Linked DNA regions of Lonchura striata. The protein of the gene in region 1 interacts with the protein of each later gene in a biochemical or structural test. Links are inferred from orthologs where the notes say so. Each region holds a gene or a part of one and is shown on either strand. Other genes may lie near its edges.

What was found. The genes of interacting proteins can lie anywhere in the genome.
Region 2: the proteins of RDX (region 1) and ARHGDIA form a complex in vitro, tested with the Homo sapiens proteins (2 studies listed by BioGRID and IntAct). The link is inferred for Lonchura striata from reciprocal best matches to the Homo sapiens genes RDX and ARHGDIA.

What each region holds. Positions count from the first base shown.
Region 1 is NC_134604.1:72,542,973-72,550,635, reverse strand, and holds the start of RDX (radixin), read right to left. Parts: upstream 3,042-7,663; 5' UTR 2,809-3,041; intron 1-2,808. UniProt on the Homo sapiens protein: Probably plays a crucial role in the binding of the barbed end of actin filaments to the plasma membrane.
Region 2 is NC_134621.1:11,932,263-11,940,051, forward strand, and holds the start of ARHGDIA (rho GDP-dissociation inhibitor 1), read right to left. Parts: upstream 3,002-7,789; 5' UTR 2,898-3,001; intron 1-2,897. Other genes in the region: ALYREF (THO complex subunit 4), read right to left, coding at 3,542-3,556, 4,323-4,500, 4,619-4,682, 4,851-4,998, 6,862-6,993, 7,153-7,380; ANAPC11 (anaphase-promoting complex subunit 11), read left to right, coding at 7,526-7,634, 7,706-7,789. UniProt on the Homo sapiens protein: Controls Rho proteins homeostasis. Regulates the GDP/GTP exchange reaction of the Rho proteins by inhibiting the dissociation of GDP from them, and the subsequent binding of GTP to them.

The DNA.
Region 1 (7,663 bases):
TGAAAACCTGGCAGTGGCCAACACAGTATTCAATTAAAAGCAACTTGACAGCAGTTGAAGAATATTTGTGCACTACTTGCAGTTTTGCCAGTTTTTAAACTGGTATGTTTCAGACGTGCTACATGATTTACATACACTTAATATTTATTGAGTTTAGTAACCTTAACTTCAAGTACCCATAAATCCAATACAGGAAATAATTCAAAGATTCTAAAGAGTCCAACAACAATAGAATGGCCAATCTTACCATTTACACTGGCTACCCCATCAAAAATGGAAACCATTAATATAAACTGATAGAAGTACTGTTGCTTCCTAGTGCAATAATCCTTTCTCTAAACATATAGTTAGCAAAGAAATAGGACACACACCCAGAATTTTGGGTATATCTCATCTCAAAGTCAAGTATGATATTTTCTGAATGATGCTATTAAGTCTCTTACAACTAGCTCCATGAAATAAAGGAAATGTATGAACTGGCCACTCATCATTCTTCATATAAACTAGCTAGAGTTCTTAAACTGCAATGTTCTAGTGTAAAGATTAACTGCCTTTTTGGGCCAACGTCATATTTCTTTTTCTTTGCACTACATGACTTGCAGGTTTCACTTCAGAGAGTGATTAATAAATATCTAAAGCAGAAAGGAAAAAAATGTTTTTTATATCCAAAGTACAGATTTTTTATATCCAAAGTACAGCTATTTTATATCCAAAGAACAGTATTAGCCTATTGGTGCAGTTAGCCAACAAATGCAGTTATTCAGTATTGAAAGGAAAGAGTTTACCTAGGCTCCTTCAGCTCTGGAATAAACTTGCTGAGCATGCAGGATACACTGGGTGCTGCTTTAATGGATCAGTATCTTTCCACAACCAGTTCTTTCTCCAGAAGTTTGTATAAATCTTTGTTTACATTTACAAACTTGAAAATCCTCTCTTTCCCCTACTCCCACAGACATCTAATGCAATATAAAGCGATAGGATGGCTTTGATGTATTTAACACATCCAACAGAAAGACGTAGTGCCTAAAACAACTTTCCTCTTCACCTCCGGCAACAGAGGCAGCCCTTCTCAAAAAGCAGAGCAAGACTGCTGAAGAAGAAAGGCTGTTCACCTATCCTGACAAAGGCCAAAGGAACTCTGCCAGGAACTGCCTTTGCACGTCATAACATCTACATGTCTTACCCTCCTGGTTTTGCAGCACGTAGGTGGATCTAAATCTTCACTTTCTTTATGGATTTACCCAATTTTCTGTGAAACAACCTTTTTCTGGCAGTACTATTACCATAGCCCTGATATGGCAGAAACAGATCAGAACTCTTCGTCATCTCTACACACACTTTCACCTCTTTTCACTGAGTCAGCACTCAACAAAAACTCTCTGGACAGCTCCAGACATGTCACACCATGTCCTTTTTTCATGCATTTTCTAAAGATGTTTCGCTTTTGTTCTACAACCTACTAGAACAACTGTGTCACTTCTGTACAGAGCTTGGAAATACGCCACTGCCTTGCAATTGCCATTTGCTGGGAGGCTGCTTATCTGGGAACATTGCACTGACTCACAGTTTATTTTTCTCACAGTCCCTCTTATGCTAAATCAATAGATCAATAGAGGTTAAGTCCTATAATCCAACAAACAGTTACTACTTGTGCCATTTTTAACGAATAAAAAACAACTTCATCACAGCAGCCATAATGTTACTGTACAACTCCACATCTTCCCTGGGAGCACAGGTTGCCCAGCAGCGCTGTGCCAACGCGCTGAGAGCCGACAGCAAGAACCGCATCTCCACAACCTTCTCCGTGTGCGAGGTGCTGCGCAGGCACACGCACCCCCAAAAACGCTCTCGTGGCGCAGACACGGCGACAGGCATCTCCAGTGGAAACAAACCGGAGCGACATACAGCGATTCTGACACAAACCAGCCGCAGGGACAGAACTACTTAAAACTCAGAAAATGCCACTCCCGTAACTCAGTTTGAAAAATGGAATCTTTTTAAAAGTCTGTACTAGAAAGAGGAACACGAAATACTTGTCTAGGGTGTTACACAGACTGGAAAAGACAGCTTAACAGCACCTTACAACCAAAGTGATTAGTTGTGTTGGCATGGAGTCCAAAGAGGTTTTTTTTTTTTTTTTTTCCGCGTTCAGATTAAGAAACTGACAAAAGATAAGTATACCACAATACCACAAAGTAAAAACTAAAACCTCTTATCCGCGCTAAACTTTAAGCGACAAGGTTAATTACAAATGCCCACGACTCGTACAAAACATTAATCCATTCAAAAAAACAATGCACAAAGGCTCATTCAGGGCCGCTGCGCCCATTACGTCGGTCAGTACTTAAGGACTCTTAAAAACGCGCATTTGTCGAAAACAATAGACAGCAACAGATGCTCCACAGCACTTGTTTATGAAGTAATTCCTTATTATTCTCCCACACCGCCGCACTCAGCTGGCCCGACCCGACTGCCACATGTCTACTACGGTGTGCCTCCCGAGCCGCGCCGCTCGGGGACATGAATAATGCAGCGCAGGCTGCGCGGGCACGCCGGGCGCGCTCCCGGGGCGCCCGACAGAGCGGGGCGAGCCGGGCTCGGCGAGCCGGGTCCCGGTCCCGGGCGGGGGCGGTGTCCCGCACACGAGCGGCGCGGAGCCGCGCTCCCGCCGCCGCAACAAGTCGCTGCTGCCCCCCGCCCACCGGGGGCTGCGGGCGGGCTCACGCCTCGGGTTGCTGCCCCCGCGCTGCCCGCAGAGCCCCGCCGGCGGCCGCCCGCGCACCCCTCGCCTCAGCGCCCCCGCCTCACCTGGGACTCCGCTCCCTCCGCGGCGCCGAGCGGAGGGGGGCAACGAGCCGGCGGGGCAGGATGCTCGGGGCGCGGCGCTCTCCGCTCCTGGCGGGGCGGTGTGTCCCCCCGCCGCCCCCTCGCAGCGGGGCAGGAGGCGCTGCGGGGCCGCCCCGCGCTGCTCGCCGGGGATGCGGCGCCGAGCGCGGCGGGCGCTGTGACAGCTCCGCAATATGGCGGCCGCCGCCGCCGTTCGGATTTTCCCCCCTATCAGATGTGGCTCCTGCGCACGCACTGCGCACGCGCGGAGCGGGAGGGCGCGCATGCGCGGCGCGCGGCGCGAAGCCGCTGCCCGGAGGGGCGCGGGGGCGGCGGCCACGAGCGGCTCCCGTGAGGGGACGACTCGGGGAGCGCGGCTCCTGCAGCGCGGCTCCTGGCGCGGAGGGGGACGGAGCCTCCGTGAGGGGACGGCGGCGAGCTATCGCCTTCTGAGACGGCCGGCCCTCCGCGCGGAGTTCCGCGCGTTCCTTGGGGGCCCCAGGCGAGCGCAGCCCTGCCCGTGTGGTGTGAGCCCGGGGCAGCTGCTCCAGCGGCAGAGCTGCCCCCGGGAGCCCCTGCTCGCCTGAGTGAGGAGCGGAGCAGGAGAAGCAGCTCTCCCGTTAGCGCGCCGGGCGGGAGAGGAAAACCCCGAAAAAGGCTCGAGCCCGGGAGGGGGAGTTGGCGGCGTGGTTTGGTTTATTTTCCGCCCAAAGCCCCGGCAGGCGCACTGCCGCCTTTTTGGCAGGCGTGTGCTGCGGGGCGCGGCGCGAGGCCGGGTGTCCTGGCAGATAGGGTGGCTGGGAGCTGGCGATGCCACCGGCCCCAGGGTGCGGCGGGCGGGAGCCAGGGCTGGAAGGGTCGAGCTGTGTCGGCTCATGAGAACAGCGATGCCTTCAGGGAAAGAGCACGGAATGCAGTTTGAGTGGAGAGCACTGACCCTCTTCTCTCCTCCATATCATCGCAGTGATGGGCGTTCTCTCTTTTTTCATCACTCAGTCGTGTGAGACAGTCACGCTGGTGCATGGGATCATGAATTTTTTTAAATTTTTTTTATATATACAGCCGCAATGGGAATGTAGAATAAAATAGCAGTAAGGAGAATCCTTCTGAAGGACAGAGAGGTTGAGGCAATCCCAGCCCCCACTATGCTTTCACAGTTTATTTTTGTATGCAAGGAAGTGAAGGTGCTCCCTGAGCACTGTGGCAACCCAAGCAGGGAGGCCAAACAGCAAAGCTCAGTGCAAAGGGATCCACTTGAGCTACCAACTCTGAGTCATGCAGCTGCTATTAATACACCTTGCCCTCTGGCTGTCTGATAAAGAGAGGCTGGGGGAAGAACTATGAGGAATTTTCAATTAAAAGCTGCTTTAAAAAAAAAAAAAAAGAACATTCTATGGTGAATTCGAGATGGGGAGAAGAGGAAGAAGAGGAAAATAGCCTGACAAACGGAATAATCTCCAAGAGAATTTGTGGGAGCCTCACTGACTAAATATTTTTAAAAGAACATTCTGATAAGGCGAGTGGCCACATTATACAAACTACTATAAAATTAAATTTAATTATTGATATAAACTTGAATGTAATTACTTTTTTGGGAGACAGTTTAATTTGTGATATTTTTATGCATTTTGTTGTATATTTCAAACCAGCATTTATCTTAAGTCATCATCACAGAATCTGAACATCTCAGTCTATTAAAGGTATATTCAATTTCCTCACATGGACTAAAATTTCATTTGCAGCTTTGTTTGTGCCATATTGATCCAAGGAAGAAGTGATGGTGGCTAATTCCTTCTTGTCTCTGTTGTTCTTCACGGTGAAGAACACCCTCATGTGAAAGAGTATTTTGCAGTAGGTTAAACTTCTAAGGCATCTTGCAGTGTCTGCAGATACACAGTTTCACAGATCAGCCACGGTTAGTGTGCACTGTACTGTTCCCCATTCAGATGGCCTTTACCTGCAGGTCAGAGCAAGGGAAATTAAACAAACAAAAAAATGCAGGAAAAAAACTGTTTCATTCAGCCACTTAAATAAATTGGCTATGATTCACTGCAGTGCACAGATAAAAAGTGTTTACTTTAGTTGACCGAATTAAAGGCTTGCTTTCTTCTCAAATAGTCCATTCTGAACCGGCTCAAATATAGGATTATTGCACTAGGGCTCAGTTTCGTTACTGGTGTTGATAGCATGTGGAAGCCAGTTCCTTTCAGTTTGTGCATTATCACTGCAGGATATGCTTTATCTCTTATCCTGTTACATGAAGAATATTATTGCTCAGAAATGTCAGGGTAAATAATAGTCTTATCTTCCTTGTCAACAGTATAATGTGGTTTTCTTCTCACCTTGCTTCCTTAACAAGGTGTAAAATTGCAGTTTGTCTGATAAAACAGGGCAGTAAAAACAGAAGTGTAGTTAGAGATCATATTCTTTGTAGCCATGAAACTGAAACTACAGAAAGAACTACAGGCAATAAAGAGAGCTTTCAGATGCCCCTATCAACTTAAATTACACAGTTCTTTAAGAGGTAGGTTATAAAGATAAAGCTGATGATAAGAATGCCGTAAGTGCAAGACATAAAAGTTTGTCTTTCACCAGTAATGACAAAACCCAGGTCTTCATTAAAAACCAGATTTTAAATTTCTATTGCCTGATCTGAGAAATCAATCCTATAATCCTTTTAGAACGTAATGATTGTTGGGCCAAGGTTTCTCTTCTTCAGTACACCTGCAAAAGCATAAAGCATCAGTCAGTGAATACCCAGTTTGTGTTAGAATCCACTTTTATTAAAGCCAAATGTACAGTTCAAGGGGCATTTACTTGGTGAGGCATTTTGGAAAGGAGAACTAAGAAAAACAAACCATGAAAAATTTCTGATTTTCTGCTTTTATTTTCAAATGGTATGAAAACACCTCGACCTTACCTAATTCAATTATGATTTATGCCACCAGCCTGGATATAAGTGTAGTGCTGCCCATACCATGCCCCTAACGTGAAGAGTTATACATGGACTCAGCCGACACGCCTGGAAGGCAGCCATTCTGGGGATAATTATACATATGACTCAACACATACTCAGCTATTAATATGTTTACAGAAGCAGACCTGACATTGTCTAAAATTATTGCAAGGGTAATTTTACTCTTAGTAATTGCATGGTCTAAAACCAAATTGCTTTTTCTTTTGTTAGTTTTTGAATAACAATAAAAGTATACGTTACCTTAATGGATATTAATAGTAATTATTTTTCCAAAAAGTATGTTAGATTGCCCTTTAAAGTCTTTGCTAGAAACAAATGGAATTTAAAGTATTCTGTGGTCATCAGATGAATTCAATTCACAGGTACTTCAAATATTTGGTGAAATTACAATAAATGTCTAAAGTAATAGTTTTTATGTCTCTTGTTAAATTTGTCTGTCATTTGAAACTAAATGTATCTAATTCCAAAAAATATTTTTCATGCGTGGTATTAACATATCAGATTTCAATAAATATAAAAGGGTTCCAGTAGCAACACTGAGAATTCCAATTTACCTTTGTTACATTTGTATGTACAGTCTTAGCTTTGATCAAGTTCAAAAGGCAAAATATGGTATGATCCTGGGGAATTTGGGTTTTCCCTCTCTGAAATACCATGGGTGTGTGAAGCTTATTTAGGTGTCCTCCAAGATCCTGCTCTTGCACCTCCAGAATCCTCCGCTCCAGTGAAAAAGTCTAGAAGTCCATGTCCAGGATAATCCCCTGCACGAGTGTTGTAATGAGGGAGGACTGAGCTAGCGTGCAAAAAGCTGTATGGAAGGGGGATCCTCCCTCTTCAGAGACACAGTGAACAGAAAGGATAAATCAGCACCTGAAAGCCTGGACAAAACATCTGAACAACAGTGGGCGGGGTAGTCTGCCACTGAGCGGCGGTGCTGGCAGCTGCCTCCGTGTCAGGCTGTTCTTTCACCCACTGATTTGACCACCCGGCTGGGGAAACTTCGCCTCTAATATCGACGGTGAAGCTTGGCTAGCCAGCTCACACCTTTCCCACTGAAATTCCAAAGGGCTGTTTGAAAAGCTTTTCCTGCAGCCCAATCAATTCCTGCCAGTGTAAGATTTAAGAACGTTGTTCCTCTTGCTGACTGTGCTCACCGGAGACCTGAGACCAGGGTGAGTAAGAAGCCCGAAGGCTTTATCACTGATGGTGAGTCACACGTGGTGACTTCTTCCAGTGACAGATTTTGGCATTTCCCTGGTATTTAGTCTCTGGTACTACAGCAAAGATACCATAGTGATGTCCGCCTATCACAGAGTCAAATATTAATATATTTTCTACTCAAGATAGGGAGTAACAGAATAACTTGCAGAGGACTGTGTTTAAGTGCCAAATATGGATCTATGGATCTCAGCAATTCATTCTAAGTGAATTAGCATTTGCATCTCTTGGTAATAACTTGCTCATTTACCTTTTGTACACCAAGTGTGTATTATGCAGCACTTACATTCAGTCTATTATTTCAATCACCTTTATAGTGTTATGATTTTTTTTTTGTTTTTGTTTTGCAACTCAGTAATTGCACAAGAGAAAGATTAATAAATAAAGCTGCTTGCAGTTAAGGTTGGGGCTAGCTGATTTCTTGTATATCACTGCTCTAGTATTGTGTCACCCACACATGCCTTCACTGATACATAAGGTTGTCATCCAACAGCTGACACTTAGCTGCAGTTCCTGTTTATGTCCACTTAATATTTTTATCTCATTCATAGTTATAATTATTATGACAAGTACAAGTTGTTCTGCAGTGACAGCACTGGTTTTTTAGTGATGGTGTTTATTTAGATTGTGACAGTAGCTGTG
Region 2 (7,789 bases), on another chromosome or scaffold:
CTGCCCGGTCCCCTCCTCCTGTCCTTTGGCTCACCTCTGGGCTAGATGGTACCACCCATGGCCCGCAATTTGTTCTAACTCTCACATCTTGCTCTGAGAATATCTGCAGCTTTCAGGAATGAAAGTTGCAGAATTTCAGCTTTACAGAATCTAAGTCCCAAACTTGTGGTGACTCCCAAATTCTGTGACTGAGCCTTCTGTGAGAGCACACTAACCACACACATGGCAGAGGATCCAGTAGCATCCACACACCTATCTGCAACAGTGGTAGGTACATTTCTGTGCATGAGTATCCACGGGCACCCTCCACATTCCAATGTTCAGACCAAGCAGAGACAAAATCTCTCACAGCCAGATCAGTGACATCAGGAGCCATGGGGGCAGCCTCTGCTCCAGCACCTGAAGCTGTTTGAGCCAGTGCTCTGTGAACAACAGCACCAGTCCCAGTACAGCTCCCATGGCTGGGAGACAGCTGCGCTGACTGGGAGCAGCCTTGGCATTCACAGCCCTGACTGCCAGCAGCTGGTCACCTCCAAGATCTAGAATCCTCTCCTGGGCAGTTTGGAAATGAACTATTTTGGTGTCAGCATAGAGCTGCCACTCCTGAACAGCTGACCCCCTGGTGTAACACAATGGTGACAGTTTTGTCCCATGCACCACTAGCCCCATCTCCACCAGACCCACGAGGAGCCCCTCCCACAAACTGGTATTTAGCAACAATCATGACACAGAGGGCACAGAAGAAAGCCCAAACCAACCAAAAACCCAAATCCCCAGCTCTTTGGTCACATTCCTGTGTTCCAGCCTTACTTCTGTGATCCAGAGCTAAAGAATCACGCATACCCATCACATAGATTAATCATGACCCACCCCAACCTTCTTAGGATTTCTGAGGAGCCCACCAGGACCGAAAACACTGCTGGGGACCAGAACCAGCATGATTCCAGTCATCACTGCAGGCCAGGCTGGGCTTGGCTCTGGGGGAACAGCCCTCACCTTTCCTATCAGCTTACCCACAGGTCCTGGGGATCCCACTGCTCTGTGAAACAGCACAGCCCCCAGGAACTGCCATGGCTGCAGGAGGGGACCCCAGCCTGTGCTGGAAGCAGGGTACAGAAGGGCTCCTGGATTTTCAGACACATACCCTAGCTCCAAGCAGGGATTCAGGATCACAGAAGCCTGTAGAAGGCAGCAGGAGGCTGAATCCCTACCTGGGAATTTGCACGCTACCTTCACTGCTCCCTCAACCCAGCAAATTCTTCCGGATTTTCAGCATGTTTTGTGCAGGGCAGAGCAGCTGCAGTAGCTAACGCTGGAGCCCCACCTCCTGCCAGGAAGAAACACTAGCGGGATATCCCTGCTGTGTCCAAGCAGACAGTGGGAATCACTGACTCCGTACCCTGGAATCCCGATCCCAGGGCAGCAGCGAGGCCAGCATTAGTCAGAGTATCATCAGATGAGCTAATCAGCTCCGTCAGGCGCAGCTGTGGAGGCAGCAGGGCCGGTTCCAGCAGTCCCCACCCTTCCTTCTTCCCGCGCAGGGAAAGCCTGCGCAGCCACCCGGAGAACGCAGCTGGAATGTGACCCAGCAGTAAGTGTTTCTACAGGGCCCTGTCCCAAGCTGCTCTGCCAGGATGGGAAGCCAGAACAGCCCAAACAGCCTGGCTGCTCCACACAGAGAGCTCAGATGGTCCCAGGGCAGCACAGGGGAGTGGGGGACACCAGTACCACAGGAAGGACAGGAGCCTAGCTGGCACTTCCTGAGGCCAGGCGCTATCAGGGCATATCAGGTAACACTGCTGCACCAATTGCTTTGTAAGAGCATCCGAGGGAATTCTCATCCCGCTTGATCCCCTCGGCTGTCTCACAGACCCAGGCAAGAAGGACTTGGGGAACAGGAGGACACGCTGCTGCCCAGAGAGGACTCAGCAGTCTGAGGATGGAGAATTTTTTTTTCTTTTTTTTTCTGACATATCCCTGACCTGTTGTTTACCTACATGGCTGAACTGTGCAGAGCCAGGCTGAGGGCTCACAAACAACTCCAGAAGGATAAAGGCTGCTGGCAGTACTGCACCAGGGCTGCAAACCAGATCTGTGGGTACCTGGAGCCAGGACTGTGACCTATCCATGTGTGTCAGCAGCCGAACCCACAGCAGTTAAACTGTCCCCACTCTGCAGTCATGGAACAAGATCCTCTACACTGGAAAAATGCTTGGACAAGCGGAGCAACAGAGCAGACCGGAAACCGTCAAGTGATCAAGTGTGGTTGGGAGCTTTTGTCACCACAAACAAACGACGGACGACGGTCAGGGCCCTCAGACCAGCTCTCGGGAAAACGCCGCTGCTCCCGGTGGAGTGATGCTGGCGGGGGAGCCGCGGCTCCGGTGCCAACCCCCGCGCCGGGGCTCGAAGCGCACCCTGCCCGCGGCGGTCGGGATGGAAGGGCCCTGACTTGACACGGAGCAGTCCGACTCTTGTACAGTGTCTCACAGTTCCTCATTCCGTGCCCGGCGGCCATTTATGAACAGCCCGTACGCGCCAGAGGCACAGCCGACCTGGGCACGTGTGGGGCCGGGCGATCCCCGCACCGCACCTCGGACCGAGCACCGGGCACGGCCCGCCGGGAGCCGCCCCAGCCCCTCGGGGGAACACGGGCCGCCCGCGCCCCGCGCTCCGCCCTCGCCCCACGCGCTCCGCTCCGGGACGGCCCCGCCGGGGGCGGTGGCTCCCCCGGCCTTCGGAAGGTCGCGCAAGGGCACCCGGGGCCCCGCGCCCGCCCCTCGGCCGCGCCCGGCCCTTCCCGCAGCCCGCGGCCCGCAGCCAGCGCGGCGCGGCCGGCCCGGCCCTTCCCGCCCAACCGTACCCCCACCCACCCGCTCCCGCCGCTCCCGCCGTACCGGGCTCGCTCGCTCCCCGCTGCGCTGCCAACGCCGCGGATCCGCCCAGGCCCCGCGCGCCCCCGCACTTCCGGGACACGCCCGGCACTTCCCGTTACTCGCCGCCGCGCCGCCGCCGCGCTTCCGGCCGCGGACCGCGCGCTGATTGGCCCGGAAGGGCGCGCGCGGGCGGGGCGGGACGGACCGGATGGGCGGGACCGAGGAGGAGCGGGGCAGGACCGGCGGGGCGGGGCAGAGCGGGATCGGAAGCAGGAACGAGACCAGCGGGGCAGGACGGGACCGGGACCGGGACCAGTACACGGCAGAGTGGCGCGGAGCATCACGGTACGTGCGGGAGGGCGATGGGGCGCGGGGCCCAGCGCGGCAAGGCACCAGCCACAGCTCTAGACATGGTTCTATTTTATTACGGCAAAGGTGAAAAAGCCACCTTGGCCCAACAGGCAACCAGAAAAATTTATCCCAAAAATAACTCGGTACAAAACAGGTCTGCTGAGAATTAAAAAAAACCTTTACAGGAGTTAAAACCTATCCCAGAACGTAAAAGTAAAACAAATCCCATCCTTGGTAGTAGTAGCCACAGCCGCAGCCCCTGCCAGGAGTGTGGAGCACGATTGGAGTCCTTCCCTGCGCCCACCGCTGCTGCTTTAGCTGGTGTCCATCTGCAAGAGAGGGGAGGAATGTCACCGCAGCCCTGGTACCTCGTAGCACCCCCCTGCACCCAAGCCCACTCACTTCTTTGCAGGCAGCCTGGCTCTGGTGAACCCACAAGCTCTGGGGGACAGGGACAGGTGGGTCCAAGCCACAGCACACCATGAGCACAACAGCAAATTGCACCCCAACACTGCTCCAAAGCTTTTTCTAGAATCCTGCTCATCCCACTTCTTCCACACTCTTGCCCTGACATATCCTGAGTCTTGAACCACCAGCTCTGCTGCCACAGTGTCCATGTGGCCTCAGCTTTGTTGGGATCCTGGCCCAGCTACAGCATATGCTGAGCAAGTTCCAGGTACAGCTGCAACCTGCCCATGGCTCCCCAGGCTGGGGCTCATTTCTGCCACAAACATTACACCCTTTCCCCAGCAGCACACCACACAGTTCTTTCACATGAGATTTTCCTTCGTCTTCCCATTCCTGCAACCTATCAGCTGTGCGAGTTTTGTTCTGCAGCTGCTGCTCATAGTGGCTGTTCCAGCTATGGAGCCTGGCAAGAACAGAGCCTGTTTCTCAGCCATCAGGAACAGGTGACAAAGTGCTCTGGAAAGGGAAGCTCAGACCCAAGCCAAGGCACAGTTCAGCTTTAGAGAGAGACTGCTTCAGTCCAAGGACCTGGAAAATGCTTTCCCTTTTCTGCCAGCTCCAGACTGCCAGTGCTTCCCAGGATGAGATGCTGTAGGGAGCCCATTACCATGCCCAAGCAGCACTTACCCTGGCATTGTAAGCATCCAGCTGTGCATCTAGTTCTTCTGCAGAGAGCTGCTGTTTGGAAGTTCTTCCAGCTCCTCTGCCTCTCCCTCTGTTCCCGCCACGAGTCCCTCGCCTGTTGCCTCCACCTCCAAATCCCCCCGAGACCCCACGGTTTCTGGTCATGCCACCTCTGTTTACACTGTAAGTTTTAAAACAACTGTTTTAGTGCCTTCAGCGAAGCCAAACAGGACCCACGTTCCCCAGCAGGGAGGGTTCCTGCACATTCCCCTGCACTGCTTGGGCAGGGGCTCCCCCACCTCTGTGCTGGTCTCCGCTGCGTGTCGATCTGTGACGTCACCAGCTGGATGTTCATGGGGCGCCCTGGAGGAGGGAGAGCGTCCGTGAGCCCACGGGGCACGCGCGGGGCAGGAGCCGCACGGACGGGCGGGAGGGACGAGGGCGTGGGAGAAACGGGCACGAGGGGAGGGACACGGATGTGCTCTGCTCCAGCCACAGAAAAAGTCGTGGGGCTGGGCCACGCAGCCTCACCGTCCAAGGGGACCCCATTGTACTGCTTCATGGCCTTCAGCGCATCAGCCTTCCTCTCAAAATGCACATCTGCCGTTCCTAGGCTGCGGCCAGATCTGTCATAGTGCACAGCTGCCTTCTTCAAGGTCCCAAACTCCGCAAAGAGCTCCTGAGAATGACAGGGAAAGGAGCAGCCCATCCATCAATGCTGCAAGCACTGCAGCGCCCCACACAGACACGCTCAGCACCAGAGCTTGTCCCACCACCTCAGACAGCCTGGAAAAACACCCAGTGGCACAGGGGAGCACAGCCCATCAGCAAGATTTCAGGGAGCTGTCACAAGTGGCAAAACCAGGCAGGACTCCACGCTCACGTCCTGTAGGAGGCACATTACAGCCAGTGAAGCAGATTCAAGGGATGCTGACCTGTTTTTTTTTCCCAGGGGAACTGGGGGTCCTTGTTGAAGGTGAGTCAAAGTGGCAACAACTGAAAATACCGCAGACCCCAGACACCTTTCTCACAGAGGAGAATGACCATGTGATTGCAGGGATCCACGAGACTATGACACTTTTACTGTGCTAGACTTATGCCCATTAGAAACATATCCTAAAAATGGAGACCAACAAAGTCCTCTGCTGAGGTGTGTCCTTTGCTGCCACAAAAGTTGGAAATAAAGAGGCAGCAACAGAGCCACCAATTTTGTTTCTCAGGCACTATATCTGGGAAGCCAACAAGGTTACTGCACTGCCTGTGTCAACCTGCTCCCAAGTCACAACAGGGCTCTCAGCAGGGCTGCTGGAGAACTACAAAGGACACCTGGCAGATGCTTTCTGGACAGAATGTGGCAGGCAAGGCTGTCTCAGCTCTGCCCAGAGCCCAGGATCTGCTGCTTCTGCCTCAGAGGACACAAAGAGCAATGCTGCACAGCTCATTTGTGATCAGAGTACCTTCGGCCTCTCTTGGCACATAAAGAGGCATCAGCACAGGAACAAAACCAATCCCACATCTGAGGCAATGCTAAATTATGGGACATGGGGCCAAAGCCGTTGATTCAGCCCCCAGTGGGGGCTTGTGCAGCAGCAGGAAGGTGAGTCCTGGCTGCACACAAGGCACAGGGGCTGAGTTTTACACACTGCCACCTCACTGCAACAAACAAAAACTTATTTAAACTCAGTCTGAACTTATACGAGGAAAAGAGGTGGAGTGCAGCACACTACCCAGTGAGCAGGTGACTTGACAGAGCTGCTTTCCAGTTCTCCACACGCAGCCAGATGGGTGTGTGGAGAGGCTGAATGAATGAACTGATGAGGAAAGTCTAACACCACTGTTTTGGTTTTCCCTGGTGAGGGCACAAGAGCCAGAGGCCAGGGTGATGGCAACACTCTGTGGTGCAGGAGCCTCCACCAGGGATACATGGCCCTCAATTCCTGCACAGCTCACAGCCCACTCATGACCCTGTGACACCCCTCAGCCTCCAGCCCTGAGGCAGATGCCCCAAGCACCCGATTGCAGGCACTGTGGGCTCTGACCAGCCCAAACGGGGCATGGACACGACAGGTGGGGGACAGGACACCAAAGCACCAGCACAGGAGAGCTGTTCCTATGACAAATAACTACCTGGTTACACTGATAGGTGCATCCTTGGGAACCCCTGACACCCACCAGAGTGTGGTCTGACAAAGCAGCAGGCCCCACAGCACCATTACAGACAGCTACAGCTGTGCAGAGCAGGAGCTCAGAGTTCACAGTGCATCCTCCAACCACAGCGTGATCCAGCACAGTCACAGCATCGCTCCCTGTACACCGGGAAGTCACTTACAAAACACCTATAAACCGAATTTTCCAGCCCCCTGGAGACCACCACGATCGCCGCAAAGTAGGCATACCTAGTACCAACCCCATCAGCAGGGATTCACCCGGGAATCCTCGGCCCCGAGCACAAGCCGGAGCAGGGCCGGCGGGGTTCCCGCGGGTACCCGACCTGGGCCAGCGAATGAGGCCCCGCTCGCCGCGGCGCCTCCCCGAGCCGCACCTGGATGTCCGCATCCGAAACGCCGAAGTCCAGGTTGGAGACGAGCAGTTTTCCGCCGGTCTCCACGCCGGCCCCCGCCCCGAAGCCGCTGTCGAACAGGTCGTGCTGCCACTTCTCGGGGAGCTGCTTCGGCTGCAATGAGACCGGGACCTCGCTGACCGGCGCCAAGGCGCCGCAGCCGCGCCGGGAGTGGACAAAGGGCCGCCCGCGTCCGCGCCCCCGCCCCGCGCGGACCCTCCACCCCAGCCCGCCGCACCGCCGCGGCCTAAGCTCCGCCTGCCCGATCCGTACCCGGCTGTAGGGCGCGGGCCGGTTCCTGCCGCCGCCCCGGGCCATCACCGGCCGGTTCCGCACGGGGCCGCCGCCCGCGCGCCCGCCGCCAACGCCGCCCCGGCCGGGCCCGCCCCCGCGTGCGGTGCCGCCGCGGCCCCGGCCGCCCCGGCCGCCCCGGTTGGCCCCACGCTGGCTCCGGTTGAGCTTAATGATGTCGTCCAGGGACATGTCCATCTTGTCGGCCATGATGGCGGCACCGCTCCCTCCCGCACTTCCGGCCGCGCTGCGCCCGCGCCGGAAGCGGAAGAGGCGGGGCTGAGGCGCGGCGGGCGCGCGAAGCGCCGCGGGGCGGGAGCGCTTCCGGCGGGGCCGCGGCGGGACCGGCCGGGAGATGCGGGTGCGCGTGCGGAGCTGGCACGGAGTCGCGTCCTGGCTGTGGGTGGCGAACGACGAGAACTGCGGCATCTGCCGGATGGCCTTCAACGGCTGCTGCCCCGACTGTGAGTGCGGGAGCGGCACCGACACCGGGCACTGCGCACGGGGCGGGGCTGACGGTGTGTTCGTGCCGCAGGTAAGGTTCCCGGCGACGACTGCCCGCTGGTGTGGGGGCAGTGTTCGCACTGCTTCCACATGCACTGCATCCTCAAGTGGCTGA